Linked DNA regions of Neodiprion lecontei. The protein of the gene in region 2 interacts with the protein of the main gene of each other region in a pairwise test. Links are inferred from orthologs where the notes say so. Each region holds a gene or a part of one and is shown on either strand. Other genes may lie near its edges.

What was found. The genes of interacting proteins can lie anywhere in the genome.
Region 1: the proteins of serine/threonine-protein kinase NLK (region 2) and dihydrolipoyllysine-residue acetyltransferase component of pyruvate dehydrogenase complex, mitochondrial interact in a two-hybrid assay, tested with the Caenorhabditis elegans proteins (2 studies listed by BioGRID, with this or other methods). The link is inferred for Neodiprion lecontei from reciprocal best matches to the Caenorhabditis elegans genes lit-1 and dlat-1.

The regions. Positions count from the first base shown.
Region 1 is NC_060260.1:29,790,891-29,796,608, forward strand, and holds dihydrolipoyllysine-residue acetyltransferase component of pyruvate dehydrogenase complex, mitochondrial, read left to right. Parts: upstream 1-1,566; 5' UTR 1,567-1,745; coding exon 1,746-1,867; intron 1,868-2,466; coding exon 2,467-2,618; intron 2,619-2,873; coding exon 2,874-3,277; intron 3,278-3,500; coding exon 3,501-3,880; intron 3,881-4,042; coding exon 4,043-4,342; intron 4,343-4,448; coding exon 4,449-4,578; 3' UTR 4,579-5,205; downstream 5,206-5,718. Other genes in the region: U5 small nuclear ribonucleoprotein 40 kDa protein, read left to right, coding at 5,501-5,614, 5,702-5,718. UniProt on the Caenorhabditis elegans protein: The pyruvate dehydrogenase complex catalyzes the overall conversion of pyruvate to acetyl-CoA and CO(2).
Region 2 is NC_060264.1:9,756,613-9,761,242, reverse strand, and holds the start of serine/threonine-protein kinase NLK, read right to left. Parts: upstream 3,021-4,630; 5' UTR 1,117-3,020; coding exon 827-1,116; intron 1-826. UniProt on the Caenorhabditis elegans protein: Has a role in the Wnt signaling pathway controlling the asymmetry of cell divisions during embryogenesis. Operates in the AB and EMS cell lineages influencing cell specification.

The DNA of each region.
Region 1 (5,718 bases), on a different chromosome or scaffold from region 2:
ATTTTACATACGCTCGATTTAACAACAATAAACATTTTGTATAAAGTACCAAATGACGATGATTATTATTGGTACGGATGTATATTATACAATTCACGAAGATGTTGCTTTGCTGTCATCCAATAACTGATCAAGATTTCGAATAAAGAAACTTGTCCTTCCATCGAGTTTCAACATTCATGTCTGAAGAATTAATCGTATTAAAATTCAGCGCCCTTGGAACCAATTGCAACGTCAAAATGCTCTTCACCTTCCTCCTCTTCGTCCTCTACCAGGTCGATTGGAGGATTAATCTCATCCCAAAAATGATTACCAGCTGTGAATACTACTTTCTGTACATGAAATGGTACTAAAGAGTTCATTCTCTCTTAGCTGCCGGTGTAATTGGTAAGAATGGAATTTCAACTAACTTTTCCATCAGAAACACCTTTCCAAGTATAACCTGCAGGTTCTCTCAATGTTATATCAGCTACAGGCACATTATTATCCCAAACCGCTCCAAGCACAGAATTGTCAGTGAAAGTATAGTCTCCGCGACCAAACATTTCTCCAGAAGCGCAAAGTGTTCCTTTGTACTCTGTTCCGTTGTTGTGACTGCCTTCCCGTCATTGTTACAAGCAGGTCAATTGGATTAATACAATTTTTTATGTTTATCATATGCAATATTATTGCAGACTCTCATCTCGCCAGCAACGAGATATGTAGAACAATTTTTCAGTTCCTTACGATATGTACACTTCTCCGACGATTTGATCTTCTACCCAGAAAGTTTCATATTTATTGAAATCTCCAGTTACGTAAGTTCCATGACCTGTAGATTTTTTGAAAGCGTTCACGTATTCTCCGTCTTCAAAATTACAGACATATCATATGCTTCCGGGTTATTTTGTCAAAAAATTAAAGATTTTTTTACAGACTTTGAGAATGGGAAAATTTTGTATAATATTTTCTTACCTGAATAAGATGATCGTGATGAAAGTAAAATCAAAATAAGCCACGTACATACTTGATACACGACTTTAAAATTTTTTACTTCGGTAAAAAGCTATATTTATATCCAACGTTGAATCTCTCAGGAAAAGAAAGACGAAACCTCGAGTATTCGCGACAAAAATTTAACACCATACAAGGCTAGAAATTTTAAACCTTGTCTCATAATCGATCGAATATCCTTGACGATCATGTATCCACCGGAGAAGGTGTCACCGTTTGAAAAAGTAAACCGTCCCTGATCCGTCTTTACGTTAGGATCTTCATCAGCGTCGCTCGAGGGTCTTGTAACCGACAATCTCGACATGTTAATTTCCACGTCAACCGAACTCTGCAATGCGGTTCCAGTATCGATGATTATCGTATTTAATCCTCGGTTCGTTGCTGTGGGTAGTTTAATTAAACCCTACCGCCCTGCAACGTCAGGCTACGTCAGGCGGACAGCATCAGCGCCGTTGACGTCGTAAGGCAAAGTGGAGTTTTTAGGACTGAAAGACCAGTCTGTTGCCAACCAATCATATCCCCGCATTCCGCGGCATGTGGTTACGTCATATTCAATGAAAACTGTGCTTGTGCCCACGTGACCTTGCAGACGACCTCTAATTTGCCATTGCCATCTTACGACCGTCACTGACCCGATTGACCAAAAAGTGATACCCTTGGCCGTTGAGAAGAATTAGGGTTCAAATTCGAATTACATACCCGCGGGTGAATCTTTACAAATAGAACTGTTGAAAATTATCAACACCGTAGACATGTTACGCACCACAACGAGCCTCCGATCCGATCTGGTGCGCGTCACGTTTCGAAATGTTGTACGGACGAATGTCGTACGATGTTTGGCAGTCGAATGTATTCACAGAAAACATCTGCAAAGGTATCTCAACGCAGCTTCGTATATCCCATGAATCAATCTTCATTCTCTCACACCTTTTACAAATTGTTATAACACCACCGTAACGTAACATTGATCGTCGTGATTTTGAGGTTACGTCACGTTACGTATGTTTCTATTTCCTATTCAAATCATTTAACTCTCGCTTCCTCCTCTTCTACTCCTGTTCACATTTTTTTGTTCTTACGAATTATCACTGAGGTTTGTAACTTCGTCATCTTTGATAATGGTTCATATCATCATCGTGATCACAATTATTATACATTACCATGTGTGCAATGATAAAACTAAAAAAAAAAAAATTTTTAAATCCACAAGTTGAGAATATTTTCAAGCCTGGTGTCCATCGATTATTACTTGAGTTCACGAAATTCAATCACACTTTGTGTCTTTGTAGTTACAGAGAAGTGTGTGGTTTTTTCATCTTTTCTCTGTACCTTTTTTCAATTAAATATCATATGACACCTCCAGTTTTTACTGTAAATTTGATACGATGGATAGATACTGTTGAGAATTACTTTTTGCCAACTCGAATCCTGGAAAAAAAAAACAATCTTATACATGATACAATTGTTGATCAGGCCTCAGTTATGTCACAGCCCTCGTGCAGTGACAGCATGGACACAGCAGTTGAGGTTCTACGCAGATTATCCGGATCACGTGTCCGTTATGCTACCCGCTCTCTCACCTACCATGGAAACTGGGTCTATAGTTAGTTGGCATAAGAAAGAAGGTGAACTTTGCAAAATTACTTATAAATATCAACTCGCAACATGTGTATTCTAATATATAAAAGTTACTTCGAATTTCAACTGAAAATTCTTTTACAATCATCTGCCAACATTCTTGAGTAGAGCCCAGATTTCGAAAGATCCAATCCTTTATTAAGAAGATAATATTAGTAAAGTTGAAAACATTTTGCAAGCCTATTCAATCTATACTGACACCAATCTTTAATCATTTTCATGTGACAATTTTTTTTCCATAGGTGACAAGCTGAACGAAGGTGATCTCCTAGCTGAAATTGAAACTGACAAAGCCACAATGGGATTTGAAACTCCGGAGGAAGGCTACCTGGCAAAAATAATCGTGCCTGCTGGTACTAAAAATGTTCCGATTGGCCAACTTGTTTGTATCATTGTTTCCGATGAGGCGAGCGTTGCGGCTTTCAAAAACTATAAAGCTGATGGAGCAACAGCTGCTCCAGCAGCATCAGCCTCGCCTCCGGCTCCAGCAGCTCCGGCTTCAACTGCCCCAGCAGCGGCTGTTCCAGCCCCAACTCCGACTCCAGCTCCAGCTGCTACAGCAACCCCTACATCTATGTCTGGTGACAGGGTCTTTGCAAGTCCGTTAGCTAGGCGGCTTGCAGGTGAAAAGGGGCTCAGTTTACAAGTAAGTGAAATATTATTGATCGACTTGTCAAGATATGAGATCGACAAATTGAAGAGGTGAAAAAATAGATTTATCAAACTGTAGTAATAGTTTTGTTGCTTAGAAACAAAGAATTTTTTTCTAATATGTAGGATATTAGTGAAGAAGAAATGTTTAGTAACAGCTCTTCTGAATCTCAGGATACTTTTAGTTTCGAAGGTAATGGATTTTCTGTCTCAAATAGGGTCTCAAGGGTTCAGGATTATACGCTTCAGTGACTTCCAAAGACCTTGCAGGTGCTTCTGCTGCAGCTCCCTCTTCGTCTGTTGGCGCGCCAACTTCAGCACCTGCAGCTGGAGGTGTATACACAGATATTCCAGTGTCAAATATCCGAGGGGTAATAGCAAAACGATTGCTTGAAAGCAAACAGAATATTCCACACTATTATTTGACAGTTGACATTAAGATGGACGCTGCCTTACAAATGAGGGAACAATTCAACAAAATGTTAGAAAAAGAGCAAGTGAAACTTAGCGTAAATGACATCATCATCAAAGGCATCGCAATGGCTTCGAAAAAAGTTCCTGATGGCAACACTGCTTGGCTTGGGGATGTCATTAGACAGTGAGTTCTCATAATGATATGAAAAGTAATTTATAATTGAACGGGAGTGATCGCAGAATGAAATAAGTAGTGTTTCGTACCAATTGTATACCAAAACAATGAATTTCCTAACCTAGGCATCTCAACTAAATTAATATTACATTTTCTTTTCCTCCTCTTCAGGTATCACAATGTGGATGTAAGCGTCGCTGTAAGTACAGACAATGGTCTTATCACTCCGATTGTATTCGCAGCTGACACAAAGGGTATTGTACAAATCAGCAAAGAAGTGAAAGCGTTGGCAGCAAAGGCGAGAGATGGGAAGCTACAGCCTAACGAATTCCAAGGTGGAACGATTACTGTATCAAACTTAGGAATGTTCGGTATTAAAACCTTCTCCGCAATCATAAATCCACCACAGTCCATCATTCTGGCTGTTGGTACGACCGAATCTCGATTGATTCCAGCGAAAAACGAAAAAGGGTAAACTAAGAAATCTCCTAATAGTACCTAAACTAGTCTTATTAGACTTATTTTCAGTTAATCGAGCACTTTTTTCCATCATATTGTTACTGTTCAAATTTCACAGATTCGAAACTGCAAACTTCATGAGCGTTACAGCCAGCTGTGATCATCGCACTGTGGATGGAGCGGTTGGAGCTCAATGGCTCACAGCATTCAAAAGTTTCATGGAAAATCCAACGACGATGCTCCTATAAAGAATCAATGTGCTGAGAAATTACACTCATCAATTCTACAAGCCTACTTTAGATCATCCCTAAGAGCCATCATGGGGTATGCGACAAGTGGATTGTCCTGTGTACATTTTTTGTGGATAATAACATTTAATTGATTTTGCGGATCACTTAAGTAGCACCAATTTTATAACATAATTTTCCAGCTTGCAACACTGTAGATTACTTTGCGTGTAAAATAAGTTTGCTTCGCGATAAGTATATACCTATGTTACATACGTATGTATGTACTATTCCGTAGATTTGAAAATGTACAAAAGAATACACAAACTGAGTTATATTTGCCGTCGTTAAATGTACTCGTTCAACTGTTGAACGCATCTACGAACGTATGTATAGCGCGATAAAAATGTTATTTCCTATTATTTATATAGATCAAATCAGTTTAGTATCCTCAGGTAACTGATACAGAATAAACATGTACATACTTGATGTTGCCAATCTTTTCGTCCTCTTAATACGGTAAATGTTGGCACTGCGATGATAATGTTTAAAACATTAAAATCTAAATAGATGAAAATTAATGCTACTGTGCAAAGTAAATAGATATTTAAGTAATCTAAGTATTTAATAAATTATACAATATCAATACTTGCCTTATTTTTTACTTGTTCAACTACTAATATCGTCCTGATGTCAGCGATTCATAACAAAAACAATCGTGTGTACCAATCATCGGTGCGTCACATAGAAAAACAACGGAAGACCTCGCATCAGTAAGTAAAGCACAACCCATACTGACCGGCTGTTGCACAGATGTCAGCGTACCACCCAATTCGCAATCACAAAACGCTAGTGTCTTTTTACTTTGGGATGATATACGCACAGTTCGGCTGCTCGCTGGTTTGTTGTTTGTGAACAGACATTTGACAATTTTACAATAACAATGCCAATCTTAGACAAGAGAAAAGGTGATGAGATTCTAGCATTGGTGCCAGCTTCGAAAAGGACGAAAAATGAAGTGGTTTTCAGCAGTAGAGAAAAGGCGGTGATCCAAAGTGTAAATATAACCTCACTTATATTTCTCTGAGAGACGAATTGAGACACTTTTATTACTTGGAACTAAATCGGATAATTCTTATCACAGGGCCCTCCCAGAACTTC
Region 2 (4,630 bases):
AAAAAATGCAATGGACTGGGGCAAAAAAAAAAAATTATATACTTAAAAGATGAACGAAAAAATTACTGTTCTCCCTGGCCACATCAATTTTGATTGGAATATTTTTCGGTTTAGATCACAGAATTTACATAATTTTATTTTCATAATTTTAAAAAATGTCGCGCATTCATTGCCAAAATATCATCATTCAATGGTCTCTGGGAACGTCCGGGAAGGGTTGGAAAAATCCAAAATAAAAAAAATAATAAAAAAAAAAAGAAACAATGCAACACATTTTCGATTTAGAAGAAAAATTAAAAAACATCGCTATCCAAATCCAACCAAGGTTGATTTTCTGATAAGACCCTAATCGAACCGAGGTGAAATGGCCCCTCACACAATAAGGGCCCATCCATAAATTACGCCACGCGAATTTTAGAACTTTTAAACCCCTCCCCCCGTCCTTGTCACAAGTTGTGACATTTTTAGAACCCCCTCCCCCCCCTGATGTGACGTCACAAATTTTTCAAACTTATGCATGTATTTAAAAATAATCAAAAGAAAACAGTTATTTTCATTTTTTTCTTATTTTCATTAAATAATCTTTATATATAAATTTCGTGTTTTAGTATTTTAAATTTTAACACGTGACGTCACAAAGCTTTTGACCCCACCCCCCTCCCCCCGCATTAACGTGTGACGTAATTTATGGATGGCCCCTTAACGGGCACGTGAATAATTCTCGTCCCAAAATAAATACATCCAAATACGATAACGACAATTGCGCACAAAGAAACGATCGATATCTATCGTACTACCAACAGATTCACGTGTATAATCAACTCACCAGACGACTCCAAAGGCCCCGTATCCAATGGGTCTGTCCGGCTGTACTGGGTCCTGGGTAGGGGGTGGTGGTGGCGGTGCGGGGGCGGCGGGGTGGTAATAAGTCGGGGGGGCCTGGGCGACGGCGGCGGCGGCCGCCGCCGCTGCTAGGACCGCCTGTCCCGGATGAGTCCCGGTCGTCCCGCCGCCTCCGCCGCCGCCGCCGGTAGCCCCGGCCCCACCCCCCTGCATAAGCGACATCGACACGCTCATGGACACCCGCGAGTGCCGGCTCGGCCCCACCACTGCCATCAAAAATTCACCTAAGGCCCCCCTAGGCGAAGAGCCGACTGACTTCGAGGTGATTGGTCGCAGATTTTTTTTTTCCCCTGTTCGTATACTTTTGCTACTTCTGTTACTGGGTTTCCGCCCGTCTGTCTGTCTCTCCGTCGGCAAGCGGCGGTCCCGTATCACCGACGATTTTCACTTTCACCCTCTTCCGTCGCTGCTGTGCTGTTCCAAACGCACCGAGAAGATGCACGACGACGCTCTTTTGTTTTGTTTTCGAACTGGTCCCTACGGCTTTCGGCTTCGTTATTCGCCCACCTCACTATTTATACGTTTTACCCTCTATGGCGCGTCGTTTCTTCGCATTCTTTGAATGTTCGATTGTACACAACTTAATCAGCCCTTGGTGCAACGCTTTTTTTTTTTTTTCAAGCACGGGTTTCGTCAAATATCTCGGATCAAAAATCGACGTTAAAACAAAATTTTTTCCCAACTCCTCTCACCGCTGTCATATGACGCTGATTATTAGTTCTCGGATCCTTTCGTTGTTTCTTCTGTCACTTTTTTTAAAACCCACACTTCTTACACACCGAAAAATAATCCTCTTTTCATATCACCAATTGCCGCCTATTTTTTTTTTTTTTTTTTTTTATCTCCCTGTCGGCTGTGTTATTGCACTGTTGTACGCGGGACGGTCGCTTTGACGTTGGAAAAAAAAAACGAAGAGCGAAAGATCACAAACTTTTAACCACCGCTGATTTTCCTGTTCGACATCGACGAGGTATCGTTTCGTTTGTTTCTTTTTTCTTATTCTTCTTTTTTCGGCGGCACCGTTACACGTGGAATAAAAACGAAACTTGTTTGAATTTTTTTTTTATCCCGAACTTTTGCTTCACCTTCTCCACTCGTCACACGTCACAATGTGTCACGGTTATTACAATCAGCTCTTGCGAACAACGGTGACCCTCCTATTCCTTTGTTTACCCTTGTCTCGCTTATTACTCTTCTTTTTCACCTCAGTTTTCCGCACGCAAACCCGAAGCAGCGTGCAACTATTTCCGTTTCGCCTTTACGTACGATAAATAATACCCTCGGTTCGAACCCGATAGAAAACAAATGAAATGAAAAGAAAAGAAAGCGACGAATCGACCTTCCGCTATTCTCACGATTTTTCCGGCTCCGATCGGGCGAAGGACAAAACGACCGGTGGCCGCTTATAACTAACAGGTTGGGGTATTCCGGAAAAACTGAAAGGCGGTTTTTAAATCCAACGTTTCACTCACATCAGGTTATATTTCTCCTCGTCGCACGCGCGATCGCACAACGACGACACACAGAGACGACACGACACTCGGCGCGGCATACAGAAACGCGACGTGCACTCGCTCAGCTGCTGGCAGTGACTCTTTGGTCGCTGGGAGGAGGAGGAGGGGGAGGAGGATGATGACGGCGGGAGGGCGAAGGGGGAACGAAACAACGAACCAGAAATTAACGAAACCCGATGCTCGGGGGCTGGCGATTTTTTTTTGTTTTTTTAATTTATTTATTTTCCCCTGAGGGCGGGGAAGATAGAGAGCGATAGGTTCAGAGAGAGAGAGAGAGAGAAAGGGAGAGACGGTTTTGCGTGATTTATCTCCGGTATCCTTGTTATCGACACACAACTCTTGACGCGGATTTAACCTCTCCCCGTAACAACAATGTAGAATTTTAAAACGAATAAAAAATGAAATGAAAATAAAAGAACAAATCCACCCACTCACACATACACACACACGCACACACACAGCCACACTATTCGGCTAGTCCTCACACGCGTACGCGACCGATCGACATACGTACGTACATTTATATATGTACATATGCGTATATCTTTTCTGATACTGGTCAATGATGTCTTTAATGACGAAAGGCGTCCTTACGCAGCCAAGGCTTGCTGGCCACTGCCTGTCTGTCAACTCGCGTTTAGGTTCTTCTCCCCACCGAGGGCAGCGCCAGCTGCACAAAGGCCGTCACGTGACCTGCGCAGAACTACAACGCGCAACCGGATTGCGGCCGATAGACGGTGGGGGTGAGATACGAAAATTTCAAACCATTTCCACCCGCGGATTGACTCGAACGTCCCGTCGTTAGGAATTCCTCGGATATTTCGGGTGTCGCGTGAACGTACAAAGCTTGGTTGGTTTCCTCTTCGTTTAACTCATTCAACGAAATATCGATGTGAATTTAGTTACGTCGAACGTTCGATTAGCAAGACATTCGAAATGGAAAATGAAAAATGCTTGTAGAAATATCGTGTGTATGGACGAATGAAAATTTTCTGCTTATTCCCATTCAAGATGAAAAATAGGTGTTCGAACTGACTTTATGCATGCTGCAAATAACTGTGTTTCTTATAATAATCGAGATACGCTATCTTGTACTCGTCATTTTATTTTTTACATTCGCTATTATTATTATTATGACTGCAGTTTTGAAGATTTTTGCTAGATGTGGCTAGTCAAATAGTTATTCGAAAAATATTGCGAGCGCTGTAATTCAAACGCTGGTTATTTGTAGAATATCATTTAAAACGTTCTCATCTGTCTGAAACGAAAGACTACTGACAGACATATTTACCTACGCGTGTATTTACCGAATCACTATTTCATTAGAACGAAAGAATTGATGCATTGCTAAACGATCTCTTTTTGAGTTGAAAATTTAGCGAATAACTGACTCTGTCATTATTTATTCCCATCCGAGAGAATATAGTTCTAAATGATTGGCTAGGAAATTTTTCAGAAGGATAAAAATCCATTTCAACAGAGGCGCTTTGCAAATGATTAAATGTATACATTTTTCCGTTCAAAATAAAAAATAGAGCATAACCGTTTGAATTTATTTGAAATAGAAGATGCGAGATACAATTTTGCATTTTAATTGCCCATTTGAGATGGAACCATTTCAAATGTTTCCCAACCCTGTCGACTAGTCATCCGAAATAATGGAGATCAAAAGATACTCGCTGCACTGATTTATTGTCTAGTTCTTAATCAACGACAATATCACTAATTCTTTTTTAATTTCAACCGCATAAACGAACGTACGATATAAGAAATTCAAATGTAATAAAAAAAAAAATGGAATAAGCGTCTTCTTTTTATTCATAATTTTGCACTCTGTAACATCTTCAAACCGCTAAAGATGTCACAGCAATTTCCATACATATTTATCTAACAAAAAACAATGAACCAAAGAATCATGAACTGAGTGATTTTTTATGAAAATACTAGGGCTTTTGGTATAAATATCTAATTACACATCGGATTACGTATGTATTCTTTATGTCTCGATGAAAAATTTCCGTTCATCTGAAACATTTTTGGATATCATCAATAGTTTCAGTGCTATTGTTCTGTAGCATTTTAAGTCCTTCACCCTATATACATATAGCTCGTTGGAACCAAAGCCCGAAGACAAGACGAAATTTCTTAACTGTTTCCCTTTTATTTTCAGAAGGAGGAACGGTATATCCTGATTCGGACTTTTCAAATTTGCA